Linked DNA regions of Oreochromis niloticus. The protein of the gene in region 1 purifies or fractionates together with the protein of each later gene. This does not show direct contact. Links are inferred from orthologs where the notes say so. Each region holds a gene or a part of one and is shown on either strand. Other genes may lie near its edges.

Region 1 (8,262 bases):
TCAAGTATTTCAAGTGACGAAACAAATCTATCTTGGTAACGGTATAAAAACCTTTAGTGGAGCCCCAGTGTAATTTAGACACATGTTAGATACATGTCACACACACACAAAAAAAGGTTAATAAATGTTTAAATGTGAACAAAATTAAATATGAGATTGTCAAAAATGTTTGTATGATTGAGAAATCACACAGCCGCTTAAAAATTTTACACTGTCATGTAGCCTTTCGATGAAATCATGATGCAAGTCATAAGTTCCTATTTGATTCTGGGTACTGTGGAAATGTCATTAGCATTTACTTTAAATTAACCATTTCCAATTGATTCACAGTCTGTTTGTGGTTGAGGGGGGGGAGGAATCAGTCTGACTGCGGGAAGCAGCTGATTGACTTTGAAAAACGCCACAACATCAACCCAACCACCAAGTAAGCTGGTAGAGCAGGGCCTCAAGTGCCGGTGTCCTGCAGGTTTTAGATATGACCCTTGGTCAACACACCTGAATCAAAGGATTTATTTCATTACCAGGCCTCTGGAGAACTTCAAGACATGCTGAGGAGGCAATTTAACCATTTAAATCAGCTGTGTAGGATCAAGGACACATCTAAAACCTGCAGGATATGTCCTCTCTGGAGGACACATCCTGAGGCCTGGAGTTGGACACCCCTGTAGTAGACGGTGGATGGAGTGGACGGTGGACGGAATGGGCTGGGGCCTGATAGCAACCACACTTTTAAACTAATAAGCGGTCATAGGTGGCAAATATTAAACTCACCTGAAAAGAGCGCAGATTTCCAGACACTTTGACATAAGTTCCTGGGGGAAGGACAGTGCTGTCCACACTTTGGTCCTGTATAAATAAAAAGCACATACTTGATCCTTTTCATACAATTCCAGCTAATTTTCCTTAAGATTTTAGAACAGGAGATTGGCATTGAGGTACTACTGCCCTTTCCTTTTAGCCATCTACTCAGAGAAATGCAATACTAAACAGATATTATAGTTTAGTAGTTTTCTCACTATGTAATAGAGTTTTTATACATTTTATACATATTGTCTGTTGTCGCTGTGCCATTGGGAGCATCCTCACTGGATGCATCACCACCTGGTATGGCAACAGCACCGCTTACAACCGCAAAGCTCTCCAGAGAGTAGTGCGGTGTTCTGAACGGATAATTGGAGGTGAGCTTCCCTCCCTCCAGGACATCTACAGGAAGCGGTGCCTGAGGAAAGCGGGGAGGATCATCAAGGACTCCAGTCACCCCAGCCATAAACTGTTCAGACTACTTCCATCAGGAAGGAGGTTCTGCAGTATCTGGTCCCGTACCAGCAGACTGAGAGACAGCTTTTTCCATCAGGCCATCAGACTGCTGAACACTTCATAGACACCTCACCTTCACTTACCAGAGCTTCAACATTATGCACTCCATACTGTATATAAATGCCACTTGTTTTGCACATTTCCAACTGCCAACCTCTGTATATTTTATTTTATTGTTTATTCTATTTAATTTTTAAAAATATGTATATATATAAATACACACACACACACACACACACACACCTAGATATACATATTTAGTATACACATTCAGCAATGCGCATACACTCTTATATTGTACATATATTTATTCATTTAATTCTCAGATTTACCCATTCTTATATTTTGCTTGTTCTTATGTTATTGTATTTTTGCACACCTCTGTTGCTTGTGAAGCTTGCACACAAGAATTTCACTTGCATGTACTGTACCAGTGTACCTGCACATGTGATGTGACAATAAAAGTGATTTGATTTGATTTAATTACCTCATGTTTCAATACAGACTGAGCTTGCAGCAGAGTTGTGATGGTGGATACTTACCTCTGTGTCTACCCACTGCTTCACATCCATGGGAGCACCTGTCATGTCATCAACCTTGTACTGGATGTTGGTCATGGATTTATCTGTGCTTCTGATGACCCCCACAATGGTGACCTATGACACAGACCACAATTATTATCAAATCTGGAAATATTAGAATAGTTATTACGTCCATGCTGCAAAATGTTGTAACATAAAATGATTTAAAATTCTGCATTTGGTCTGACTGTTAGATAGATGTTTATTTTAAACATTTAAAAGGACAAAAAAGTACAATCGACATATATGCACATTTACATAATTTCTGTAAACAAAAGTAACTTGTACTCAAAAGGGAGTGGAAAGTTGCTGTTGTTCAACTGCAGAAGTAAAAAAAAAAAAACTGTATTACAGAGTAACAAACTAATGATTTTAAGTGCTGAAAAAGTAACTGGTTAGAGAACTAACTGAATGGTTTGGCTCACCTGGGCAACATCCACATCTCCTACTCTGAATGACTCATCGGCTTGGGAAGCAGACATTAGCTGAGACACTGTGCAGGGGATTATTTGGTTGGCACGTGTTCTCTGCAAAGATATACACCCAAACACAAATGGGTTAACTGTCGTGCAGCAGAGACCTGTCAATTTGTGCTTCTATCACAGAAGTCAACATGTGTACAAAGAGGGGATATGTCATTTGGCAAATGAAGGTATGTTGTTGCTGGTTTTCAGCACTATATTTACAGATTTATGTCTGTGTCAAGTCTTTAGTGAATTATACCGACTTTTAAGTTTAGATATAAGTACAGACCCCCTTTTTCTCTCCCCCCTGGGATAAGGCAGGTGATGCAAATCCTCCTGGAGACTGAGTGTAGCCCCCAGCCATACTGGATTCACTGTACCCTCCTGAAAATGTATAAAGAGGTAAACAACTGTGTCAGTGAAATCGTTTATTCGATATGATCTTCATTTGACCCACCTACACTCACATTCAACACACAATAACAAAGACGTCTGTAGTCAAGCTAACGTGGACCGAAACAACACAGCGTCACCGAGCCCATATGGCTATTTATAAACACAACGGTATCGAAATACAACTCACCCTGATTCCACATGCTTCCGCTGTTTGTATAACTTATTAAAGTAAGGCGTAAAATGTTATTTACACCGTGCAGTAATATCTGTAGCCAAACGTATTTCTGTGATCCTCTTCCTCGTTTAATCCCGCGCGCAAGCTTCAATGTACAGCGCAGGCGCACAGCGGAACTCCCGCGAAATCTATGATGACGCAGAGCTTAAAGATGAAGTAATTCAGCCCTAAGTTTTGCTTGTCAGGCTATCGTTCCCCTTCTAGCGCCAAGACTGACCAATGCAAAAGCACAAACTCTGGACCCAAACCACTGTTTAACATGTGCTAACATTAGTATTATTATTATTATTACTATTATTATCATTATTTGCTATATTACTTAATGAAGCAGTCCGTAGCCTGGGAGTTACGTCTGCCTGAAAGAGAAACATCAGGGAATGATTTTGAAAGAGTCCTAGGTTTGCTTTCATGAACTTCCCGAAGAACTACGTGCTCACGCGCGGTTTTGAGGCTTTGCAAAAATCATTTCCAAAGAACATTTGCAAACGCATAGCTGTGTTTATCAAAAACAGACAGACATTGCAAAAGTTCCAACGATGATTAACTACGCTTTTCCCCCAAATGCCCCTTTACTGTAAAAAGAAATAAGCGAAACAAATAATAATAATCACAAAAGCAAAACAAAGCAAACAATTTTTTATTTGCATCATCAGCTTGAGAAACAGATTCTCCACAGTTATAACAGTGTCGATTTTGGGGAATACGAGTATCACGCGAGGGCACCATGCATAAAATCCTTTTTGTATTTAGTGAAATATTACACTGTAACCGCGAAAACATTCGCACGTAGATGTGTTTTAATATAATGTGTCTATATATACTCCTATTTGTGCTATGAATGTATGTATATTTATTGGATTCTTAAACAGCGCATGCCCAAATAAGGTAAAAGAAGGTCTACTAAATTTAAATTTAGTCCACATAAAAATAGTCTAGGCGTAGTCTACAAGCAGGAATTCGACTCCTAAATAGCTTCACAGATGTGTGTATAGAGGTTTTCTCAGCTGAAGCTTTTTATTGTCTTTAAATTTATTCTGAAACTTATTTTTATTTATTTTATTTTATTTTATTGTATGCAGGCTAAAACGTAGTCTTGCATCACAGGGTGACGGTTGAACTTCATTACTGATAGCGAAGTATCACCTGCACATAGGGATCCAAACACCTTCAAGCCTCAGACGCGTCATGACCAGCCGTATCTTATCGTGATTTCGCCTTTATAGACTTACGGCATACCTTTTAAATCAGGTCTTGATTTTTGTCGGATGTTTCTTCCTCTCAAAGGCTTCGACATGTCGGCAGTAAGGCTGCTTCTGTCTTGCTTTCTTTTTAAAGAGGCTTTTGCGCTCTCAGGTAAGCACCAGATAAATCAAGTATATATCTTAATCTCGGGGTAACTTACTAGGTGCTATTACGCATCGTTCTTACACAGGGAACTTTTGGCACATCACGGATCTCCACTGGGACCCAACGTACGAACTGAGCAACAACAATCCTGCACTGGTGTGCGCATCCAGTGGCAAACGACCTGCAGCCAATGCTGGTAAATTTGGACACTATGTTTGTGACTCGCCATGGCACCTGATCAACTCTTCTGTTTATGCAATGAAGAATATTCTACCAAACCCGGACTTCATCGTATGGACTGGGTATGTTACTTTTTTTTTAAATGAATTTTGCAGGACAGTGCTAGTCTCAAGACTATATCTGGGGAAAGAAATGCTTGTCTGCCTTTACAGTCATGATATTTTCAGATTGGTATTTGGTATCGACATAATGTTTGACTGCAATTAATCCTGAAACAATCTGCTGTGTTACTTCTCAGTGATGACACTCCACATGTTGATGATAAAGATCTGGGAGAAGAGGCAGTGCTCAGCATTATCGGCAACCTCACTGACATCATAAATCAAGTTTTTCCAAGTAAGTACAAAATCGGGTGGAAACATGCAAGGTCAACGCATACGACAGTGTATAAGTGTTGGCTACTTCTAATAAATAATGTCTTTTATACATTATTGTCTTGTTTAGACACTAAAGTGTACTCAGCCCTGGGGAACCATGATTACCACCCAAAGAGTCAGCTTCCTGCAGCCCCAAACTCCATGTATGACCGAATAGCAGAAATGTGGCAGGGCTGGTTGGATCCAAAGTCAAAAGAAACATTTAAAAAAGGTGAAGATGGCTTTCTCTAATAGTTACAAATATATGTGTAATGACTTTCCAAAGAATGAATACATCAGTTTATGATGCACAGGAAAATTTTGAACAGACATTTTCTGCAATGTTCCTCTTGCACAGGTGGATACTACACAGAAAAGCTCATGAATCAGACTGGTTTCAGGATGCTGGTCCTTAACACCAATCTCTACTATGATCAGAACAAGCTGACCAAGAACATGGATGACCCAGCGGACCAGTTTAGTTGGTCAGATCAGATTCTTACAGAGGCGGCCAACAACAAAGAGAAGGCAAAGCATCTCATCTTGTTCATGGATGTTTGGATGTTAGGGACTAGAGCTCAATAAAAGATGTAGTTTGTAATGAATACAATCCTGTATAAGCAATTGCCCCTCCAAAAAAGAGACTTGGTCCTGATTGGATTTTAGTTAACTCTGTATTGTTTGGTTTATCAGGTTTACATCATTGGCCACGTTCCTCCAGGTTTCTTCGAGAAGAAAAGAAGTAAGCCATGGTTTACACCAAAGTTCAACCGGCGATATTTGGATTTAATTGAGAAGCATCATTCTGTAATAAAAGGGCAGTTCTTTGGCCATCATCACACTGATAGCTTCCGTATGTTCTACAACACAGAGGGTAAGCCACACTGCAGTAATAGTACTCATTTCACCTTGTATTTGTATTACCTGTTTATCACTTAGCTGGAATGCGTCTCCAATATCCAGCGTTAACATTAACACACACTAATACTGATAGAGCTGATATCTTGTCCGTTTCTACAGGTTCTCCCATTAGTACCATGTTCCTCAGCCCTGGTGTCACACCGTGGGAAACAACACTTCCTGGAGTTAAGGATGGAGCGAACAATCCTGGGATTCGTGTCTTTGAATATGACACAGAAACACTGGTAGTCAAGGCAAGTTTTGGCCTTTACAATTTTCATTAGACATTTATGTTCCTCTAGTGGTGTAGTGGTTAACACAAGGGAACGGTTGCTAGTTCATTATCACCCAGATACAAAAATCCCCTTTTACTCTAGCTCCAGAAAGACCATCCGGTGTAAAACTCAAATCATCAACTGCTAAATCAAACGTGAAACGCTCCTCGTGGCAACGGGGCAGTCAAAAGTAGCAATAGTATTATTAGGCTCTTACGCAACTTATATAAATATATATTTGTATTTTAAAAAATTATAAAACCTTCAGAAATATCTTGTAATGCTTCTAATGTTCTGCTTTCTGTGTTTAAACCATATGCTTTCTCTCACGCAGGATGTGGTGACCTATTACCTGAACCTTACTCATGCTAATGTAGCCACAGGACGCTGGGAGAAAGAGTATCGCCTCACAGAGAGTTTCAGAGTACCAGATGCCTCTCCAGCCTCCATGCACGAGGTTCTGAAGCGTGTAGCTGATGACCCCCGCTACCTGCAGAAGTACTATGATTTCAACTCTGTGAACTATGACCTGAGGGATTGTGACAGCGACTGCCGCGTTGACCACGTGTGCGCAGCACGAGAGGTAGACTTTGACAGGTATGAACACTGCCTCGTTAAAGAGGGGGCAGTTTTCATCTATGGTGGCCTGTTGCCACTCATCTCCGTGGCTTTAAGTCTGGTGGTGGCCAGTGAGTAATTAATTCAATACTACTTTGAACTATAACTAACTCTGAACTTAGTATAGGTTCATTGTTTCCCTACACCAACATATAAGCTTTCTCCCTCAGAATTTAAAATTATGCAATAATCTTTTGTTTCAAAAGTATAAAAGTCATGTTCACACATGTATCACTGACCCACTGAGCAATGCAAACTCCCCCTCTGACTTTCCGACTGGCTTCATCAGCAGCTGTATGACGTTCCACCTTAAAAACTGCACACTTTTAGCAGAGGAATCTGAGAATAGCTTTCTGGTCTCAACATTTGTAATGAATTTCATTGTTTAAATGATAAATCCAGAGAAACATCAAGTAGCAGGTATTTGTTTTAAATGTCACTATTTAACATGTAGCACTATAATAATGCATTTTCATACTTTCAGTTATATTACATCTATAAATGAAATGAGTCATGCTCCAGTGTATAATTAAACTATGGAAAAATGCAACCTTTGTCTTCAGTAATCTTTGGTGTGCCCCTTGACCTTGATTTATGGGTACTGGCTGAATACTTTGTTTCAAAACTACACAGTATTCTTGTGCCTCTAAAGGCCAGCTACCATCGTTTTATTTGTGTAAACTCTACTGTAGCTTGTTATGAATCCAAAACTCAATCTTATGAATTTCATGCACATTAGCTGAAAAAATTGATTATATCAGGATTTCATAACAAATGTCTTAACATTACTTCCATTGTCCATGCAACTTCAAAGCAAAGCAATCAGTTTTAAAAAAATTACAAGATAAAGTTGTATTATCTGTGTTCTGTGATAACTCCTGGCATTTCATATCTTCTTATAATGACTTCATAATCTTTTGACAGCTGCCTGTAAACACTGTAAAGTGTCACTACAGAACATGACGGACGCTGAACTTTGAGTCTTATGTGAAGACACTTTTATTGAGAATGTGGATTTCTTTGACATATCAGCAAGAATGTGACAGCTCTCGGGTTTCACCCAAATATACATGCAGTGTTCTTGAATATCCGGTGGTTAGTTGATAGTATCAGCTAGTTCACATGACCAAAACCTGTTTAGTTGATGAGAAAGGCTGCATAGCAGCATCCAGAGCTGCGTGATACTGCTGCAGACCCACCTCAGTGCAGGCGGGAGCTGTCAGCTTTCCCTGCTTGATGAGGGAGCACAGTTCATCCAGCATGGCTCTAAATGCCCTTCCATCTAGGAAAAACAATATCCCTGTAAATTAGGGAAATGTTTATCTTTTTTAGATTAATTTCATACAATCAGAAACTCCATGCCTACGTACCATGAGAGTGAACTCTCTTCCACTGTGTTACCCAAAATCCTCGAACCTTCACATCTTTGAAAATAAGAGCACTCTAGAAAGAGCAGTAACAGCAAAAAACACATATAAACATACAACATAAAAGAAAAGAAAAACATTTTTTAAATGGAACTTTAAAGTGATT
Region 2 (7,472 bases), on another chromosome or scaffold:
CATACAGCCTCTAGGTACAAAAATATGTTACAAATCTTTGAATTTTTTTTTGCTTTTTTCGTAACAAATTAGCTCATTCCTTTGCATGTCTTCTTTACTTTGACCAGCATAACCACAACTGTATTACTTTTAATTGAGAGTGTCTTGCTGCTTCTAGGTAAAAATGCAGTTTTTGATTAAATGGTAAATGGCCTGTATTTGTATAGCACTTTACTTAGTCCCTAAGGACCCCAAAGCACTTTACACATTCAGTCATCCACCCATTCACACACTGGTGATGGCAAGCTACATTGTAGCCACAGCCGCCCTGGGGTGCACTGACAGAGGCAAGGCTGCCAGACACTGGCGCCACCGGGCCCTCTGACCACCACCAGTAGGCAACAGGTGAAGTGTCTTGCCCAAGGACACAACAATCGAGACTGTCGGAGCCGGGGCTCGAACCGGCAACCTTCCGATTACAAGACGAGCTGCCAACTCTTGAGCCCCGATCGCCCCGATTAATTTCCTCTTTCTTGCTTTAACAGTTGATTAACTGCTGTTATGTGTTTTTAGGTTTGATTGCCCTTCTAGAAGATGGAGAATCACTGGAGCACCTAATGTCTCTCCCCCCTGACGAGTTGCTGCTCCGCTGGGTCAACTATCATCTACGCAACGCAGGAACGGAAACAATCAGCAACTTCAGCGAAGACATCAAGGTACCGTGCAGAACAAATACACATACATGTGAATACACAGTGTCATGAGTGTAACCCCATCTTGTACTCTCCCACCGAAGGACTCACGGGCCTACTTCCACCTGATGGATCAGATCACTTCCTGTGAGGAGGATGAATTCCAAATGAAGATAAAAATTGACATGAGCGGCCTCAATGTGAGCCAAAAAATGTTCACATAACAGTGAGAAACTAATAAATGAAGCTAAATGTAAAGATCAACACTTCTTTCTGTCATTTTAACCAGTTTTCTTCAAATTCTGATATGATTATATCCACATAGTGTCTGTTCTTCTATGCATACATGTCTGTGTGTGTGTTTGTTGTGAAGGAGTGGGATTTGGAGAAAAGGGCTGAGCTGATGCTGCAGCAGGCAGCCAAACTGGACTGCAGGCAGTTTGTTACTGCTCGTGATGTCACATCTGGAAACAGCAAACTGAACATGGCCTTCGTGGCCAACCTGTTCAACATGCACCCCGGTCTGCAGAAGTTTCTGATGAACGGAGGCAATTTAGAGCACATAGAGAGTGAGATATATTCACCACTACATCTTGGCCTTACAATTACACGACAGAATCATAAAATGCTGAACTGTACAGTACACAGAGGCATATTAGCCATAAAATCAGCATGCAGAAAACAGACGTAATGCTATGCTAGTTATACGTGCCATAGACCAATAAAAAGCCAGAGATGATAATAGGTTCTTGAGTGTTTGACGTCTAGACTATAGATGAAGTCAGCTGTATGATAACATGTATGATGTCTTCATATAATTCCAGAGGAGACCAGAGAAGAAAAAACATTTCGCAACTGGATGAACTCTCTGGGTGTTTCTCCACATGTGCACCATCTTTACCAGTATGTCATCAGTTATACATAATCATGTTGACCATATCAGTTATTTAGGGTGAATGGACCTGTAAATCAAGGTTCAGCTTCATTTAATGATTAGCATGAGTGTCCTCATATAACATTCTACTGAAGACTCCACAAGAGTAAGATATGGGCTTAGCTTTAATCTTAAATTTTAATGCTTTCCTCATGCAGACAGCATTGAAAATATAGTTTGAAAATAATAAATCCCTTATCTAATTATAAGTGTTATTATTATTATTTATTAGCTTTAAAGCACAGTAAAACATGAGCTCCCTCTAAGACTGCTAAAACTCCATAATTCAATAAAAATAGAGAGGACATGCTCTAAGTGTTCTCAGTGGTGGTCATTTTTTCTTCTTCTTCTATTGAAATCAATTATCTGTGTCATTGTTTTTTTCCAGTGACCTGTGTGACGGCTTGGTGATTCTGCAGCTTTATGATAAGGTCAATGTGCCTGTGGACTGGAAGAAAGTCAACCGCCCTCCTTATCCTGCGCTGGGGGCCAATATGAAGAAGGTACTACATGCTAACAAGCAGAGCACAGTGATGATGACAGGAAACGCACAGCAGTGGGAAATATGAGAGATGCAATGTTGTTTTTTGTTTTTTTCCCTGTATCCCAGCTGGAAAACTGTAACTATGCTGTGGACCTGGGCAGGAATGTTGCCCGCTTCTCCCTGGTTGGAATTGGAGGAGTAAATCTAAACGAGGGGAGTCGTGTACACACCTTAGGGCTGGTCTGGCAGCTGATGAGGAGGTATGTGCACGCAGAGCTGCAGGATGTTTTGCTTGCTATAGTACATTGTTTGGTGAAAACAGACAGTCCGTGGTTTGGCGCTGCTGCTCATTGTATAGTTTCAGTTACCTTTACTTCTTACAATCCTCCAGGTACACAGTTCAGGTTTTGTCCGATTTGGGTGATGGAGAGAGGGTGGTAGATCAAATCATCCTGGACTGGGTCAACAAGATGCTGAGCCAGAATGGAAAGGACACACAAATCAGCAGCTTCAAGGTGTGTATCTTTGTTTGTGAAATGGTTTGATATCAAAAGACTGTGTGCTTTAAACCCCTTTTTGCCTGTTTTTTGCAGGACAAGCTGATCAGCACCAGCCTGCCAGTGATTGACCTGATCGATGTAATCGCTCCGGGAATGGTCAAGTTCCACGTGGTAGCAAGAGGAGAAAATGGAGTGCTGAAGAAAGATGATAAAATCAACAATGCCAAGTAAGAAATAAACTTTTTTAAACTCCCAACCACTTTGGATTTTTCGCTCTTTTATAATTTCCTTACTCCTCTCTCCTTCTGTGCTGCTGCCAGGTATGCAATCTCATTGGCTCGTAAGATTGGCGCTCGTGTCTACGCTCTGCCTGACGATTTGGTGGAGGTCAATCCCAAGATGGTGATGACTGTGTTTGCCTGCCTCATGGGGCATGGTATGAAGAAAGCCAAACCCTGAAGTGGGTACAAACAACACTGAATGAAGATGAAAAAATATATTTGTATTTTACTTTTAAAAAATTATTTTTATTCCTTTACTTTGAGTTTTAACCTCGCCGTGCGTACAAAACAAAAACAGTCTAGCATTGTCTATTATTCGTTTGCAAGAAAAAAAAGCTGTATATCATTTTCCATCAATAAAGATAATTCTTTCTTTTATACGTGATTTTATGGAATATTGTTCTTTGCTTTATTATACTTAACCCATTCTATTTACTTCTTCTGCAATATGAGCCAGAGATCCAGCAGAAGAAAAAGCAGAATTATACACACATCTGTTCTATCAAATACATTTTATGTCTGTAAATGTTGTTCATTAAATATTGCTATTTAATTAATAAAGAGAATCTGTTAAATGTACGAAATACCTGTGAATGTTTTGTGTATCAAAATACAAATTCCTTCTGGACTTCAGAAGTAAAGAGCAAATTGGTTATAACATGTATATTAGTTCAGAAGTGCATGAAATATAATTGAATCAAAAGCCATCAAAAGCAAAAATCTGGATTTTCTACATAGCTTCTAAAAATGGGCATAACTGAAAACTTTAAGGTTAAAAATACTTGAAAGATGGGAGGTGACAATAATCTGACATTACTTGATATTTATCTATTTATTTTTTACCAATTTTCTAATATGTTTCAGTCTCCCCTTTAGATAAGGGGAAGCATCTTATACATCTTGTTTCAAAAAGCTGCATGGTGAATAAAGGAACAGAAACACTTGTGTTTCTCTTGTTATTGTAGGTTCTTTACCTTGCAATATAAAGTGTTTTGATGTGACTTTTGTTGTGACTTGTACTATATAAATACCATTTAACTGATTTAAGAAATTCTACTGTAATTTTAAATTTAGCAACTTAATTAAGACATACATTAAACTCTAATCACAAAATACAACATTGCCTCATGAATAGTAAAGTAACACAGTTGTAGGCAGGCATACACAGTTTCACAAATATTTACATTATATATCTTGTATTATACCCTCTTTTTACACATTATTTACTACTGCAATTGCACTACTCCTTTGCACAGTCTCAGTTAGATTTTTTTATTTCACCTTTTTACTTCTCCTTTGAAAAAAAAAATCACTGTTGTGTATATTTTTACCCTGCCTACATTGTAAGACATTTACTATGGGCCTGTGGTACTTTTACTATTAACAATTAAAAAAAATTTTTTTTTTTTACATATTTTTTCCTGCCGTAAAAGACATACTTTAACGTTACTTTAACGACCAGAGGAAGCTCTTACTAGTTTGCTTTTTGTTTGAGCTTATAGACCCTCGCTGGCTTCCGTATCAAAACAGAAACGTCATTTTGGAGCGAAAGTTTTGGAAAGACTTGACAGGCAGAAGGAGACGTGGAGATGTGTACTGGTTAAAAATGATTAGATAGAGCCATATATTAATGTATTAAAGAGTTTTATCGAACAGGGACATACAAAGTTTAAAAATGGAAGGTCTGGAAATGTCTGCGATGATACCGGCTCTTCAGGAGCTAGCTAGGTGAGTACACGGCTAAAGTTGGCTAAGAGCTAAGTAGTTAACAGTACCAGTCATTTGGGCTAAAGTGAGTCCTCGTCTTTACTTATTGAAGTCGATAAAAACCGTTGCTTCATCATGTCTCTGTGAATAACATCGTGCTGATGTTTGCAGTGCGAGCGCTGCAGAGTACGACCAGGTGGTACAGAAACCTCGACAGATTCTCTGCCAGTTCATCGACAGGATACTGACAGATGTGGATGTCGGTAAGGCGGTGTTATCGACACTTACTTGGGGTGGTCACCATAATAAAAGCCTCTGAAAGGACATCAGTAAAAAACAAACAAACAGCTTTTTGGTGTACACTGTCAGACTTATCTGCTGACACATTCCCTTAAGTTGTTGCTTACAATGACTGCTATTTCCCCTTGCTAATATACTGTGCTGATTTCTTTTTCTTTCTTTTTTTGTATATTTGTCACACTTGCATGTTTCAGATCATCAGACAAATTTTAAAAATAGAGATAGCCTGAGTAAATGTAACATGCAGGTTATGAATTCCTGAAAAACTCCTGTAAAATAATAATACTGATAATACTACTACTACTACTACTACTACTAATAATAATAATAATAATAATAATAATAATAATTATTATTATTATTATAAAAATAGGAAAAAAACTATCCAAACCTTTGTGAAAAAGTAACTGCCCCCTAAACCTAATAACTGGTTGTGCCAACCTTAACAGGAAGAACTGCAGTCAAGTGATGGTGATAAGTTGCAACAAGTCTTTCACATAAGATCAGCCATATTGGAAGTTTTTCAAGCATGAGCGGTCTGTTTAAGGTCATGCCAAAGCATTTAAATTAGATTTAAGCCTGGACTTTGACTAGGCCGCTGCAGAACTTTCATTTTGATCTTTATGGGGTTTTTTTTAAGCACTTAAGACTTCCTGGTGGGTGTGGGATCACTGAACATTATTCTTGGTTCTTTTGTGACTTAATGGATGAGTTGTTGATGCACTCTCTGAGCAATTTTGATAGGCTGTCTACTCCTGGGAATGTTTTCCACTGTTAAAATCCGTGGATCACTGGAGTCTCAAAGCCTTAGAAATGGTTTTGTAACCCTTTCCAGACAGTTCTTTTAACCTACTTCACCTCAGATAGGTTCTATTTAAGGCATTTCTTGATTCAACAAGCCTGGCAGTAATCACGTCTGGGTGTTACTTGTGAAATTAAATTGAGCTTTCAACCAATGTGGTAAATCACAATTAATTCATGATTTAAAAAGGGAGGAATTACTGTTTCAGTCAGGGCCAGGTAGGTTTCGGTAGCTTTTCTTTCTCTTATTTAATGAAATCAAAATTTAAGAACTACACTTTGAATTTAATCAGGTTATCTTTGTCTAATATTAAAATGTGTTTGATGATATGAAATATGAAAATGTCACAAAAAAGTAAGCAGGTTTAAACCCTAACAAGCTCATGTGTGCACATCAGACATGCTTCCTTTATTCCTTAAATTCCTTTATCTTTACCTTTATTACATTTAGTACGCAGAGTTTGTTATAAACCATATTAGTTTTTGTCTTCCCCCCACTTGCATGAATCTTGCCCCTTACTCTACACCTGCACCTGTAACTTCCCCTTTGCAATATGAAGGTGATATAACAGCAGTTCACATTGCTGGCAGGTGTTTGTTCGGCAAACAGAAACCCAGTCTGTGTTAGGAGTTCCAAAACACAAAGAGGGCACATCGGGTGTGACTACAGATAGGAAAAGTACAACTAATATAAACCTGTGTCTGCTTCTGTCTTCTTGCTGCTGTTGTATAAATTTATGATCTCCAGTAGTTTACTTGGTAATTAACTCTTGGCTTCTCAGATTCTTTTGAATAAATATTGTACCTGGAGTTTAAATCAGTGTCTTTCTTTAAGCTTTTTATCATTTAGTGACTTTTCAAGTTAATATTGCAAGAATATTTGACTTATCCTCTGTATGTGTACCAGCTCTTTGAACAAAACGGTTGTCTTTTCTTCCAGTTGCTTTAGGGCTAAATAAGAAGTCCAGCTCAGAGCCAGCCTGTGTGATGCTGCTGGACTTCGTGCAGCACATAGTTAAATCTTCATCTCTGATGTTTGCCAACCCTGCCTGTCAGCCTGCTGAATACCCAGACACCACACAGAGCTGCACTGGTAGGAAATTCTTCTCAAAATGCTGCCATAAGTGATTTCAGAAATTAGAAAAAAAATGAACATGTTTTCCTCTTTCCTTTCTCCTTTAATATCTTCTCATTCCTTGTCTTGATTTTAGACTTCAGTAAGTGGGTGGCGGTGCGTTTCCTTCGTGTGGCAGCAGCTCCAGGCTGTGATATCATCCATGGACGGGTCTCTGCTGTGTTGTGCTCTTTACTTCACACTCTGAGAGTCCGGGCACCATTTATCTTTAATTGCCTCATTCAGGAACTCATATTTCTGTGCCAGGAACTCAGCCATAACCTGTATGCACATATTTGCACACTTGGAGGACAGGGACATGTTTTGGAGATTCACACAAAGAGCCAGTGGCCTGTAAACCTCAAGTGCTTCAGTTTATCCCCCCTCTGTGCCTCCTCATACCTCACCCCCTCTGCCCTTGTGCTCTCCTCACCTGCTGCCTTGGAGTCGCTGACTGCCATAACGATCGACATCATAACTGAGTCTCTGCGGGGAGTCATCTCCCGTCGTGACCTGAGTTTAGCCTGGGAGGCTGCATGCTTCATCCTGGCCAACGGGAACACCAGGCTGAGGAAGGCCTCCATGGTGATGCTGAGAACACTGGTGGAGCTCAGAGGATTTCCTGAGATGCAGGGCCACGAATTCTTTGCAGCCTACTTCCAGTTGCTGGAAACACACTC

The links. The genes of interacting proteins can lie anywhere in the genome.
Region 2: the proteins of rpa2 (region 1) and atr purify together in Homo sapiens (affinity purification with western blotting; 3 studies listed by BioGRID, with this or other methods). This does not show direct contact. The link is inferred for Oreochromis niloticus from reciprocal best matches to the Homo sapiens genes RPA2 and ATR.

Annotation. Positions count from the first base shown.
Region 1 is NC_031976.2:26,300,276-26,308,537, forward strand, and holds the start of rpa2 (replication protein A 32 kDa subunit), read right to left. Parts: upstream 3,106-8,262; 5' UTR 2,959-3,105; coding exon 2,946-2,958; intron 2,747-2,945; coding exon 2,652-2,746; intron 2,426-2,651; coding exon 2,324-2,425; intron 1,974-2,323; coding exon 1,860-1,973; intron 847-1,859; coding exon 772-846; intron 1-771. Other genes in the region: smpdl3b (acid sphingomyelinase-like phosphodiesterase 3b), read left to right, coding at 4,259-4,346, 4,426-4,642, 4,819-4,916, 5,025-5,168, 5,295-5,464, 5,630-5,810, 5,957-6,090, 6,446-6,808; mecr (enoyl-[acyl-carrier-protein] reductase, mitochondrial), read right to left, coding at 7,848-8,011, 8,100-8,172. UniProt on the Homo sapiens protein: As part of the heterotrimeric replication protein A complex (RPA/RP-A), binds and stabilizes single-stranded DNA intermediates that form during DNA replication or upon DNA stress.
Region 2 is NC_031983.2:20,161,043-20,168,514, reverse strand, and holds the start of atr (serine/threonine-protein kinase ATR), read left to right. Parts: upstream 1-4,380; 5' UTR 4,381-4,545; coding exon 4,546-4,598; intron 4,599-4,748; coding exon 4,749-4,840; intron 4,841-6,618; coding exon 6,619-6,771; intron 6,772-6,889; coding exon 6,890-7,472. Other genes in the region: pls1 (plastin-1), read left to right, coding at 553-695, 776-871, 1,045-1,240, 1,496-1,574, 1,994-2,108, 2,216-2,349, 2,481-2,604, 2,683-2,816 and 1 more. UniProt on the Homo sapiens protein: Serine/threonine protein kinase which activates checkpoint signaling upon genotoxic stresses such as ionizing radiation (IR), ultraviolet light (UV), or DNA replication stalling, thereby acting as a DNA damage sensor.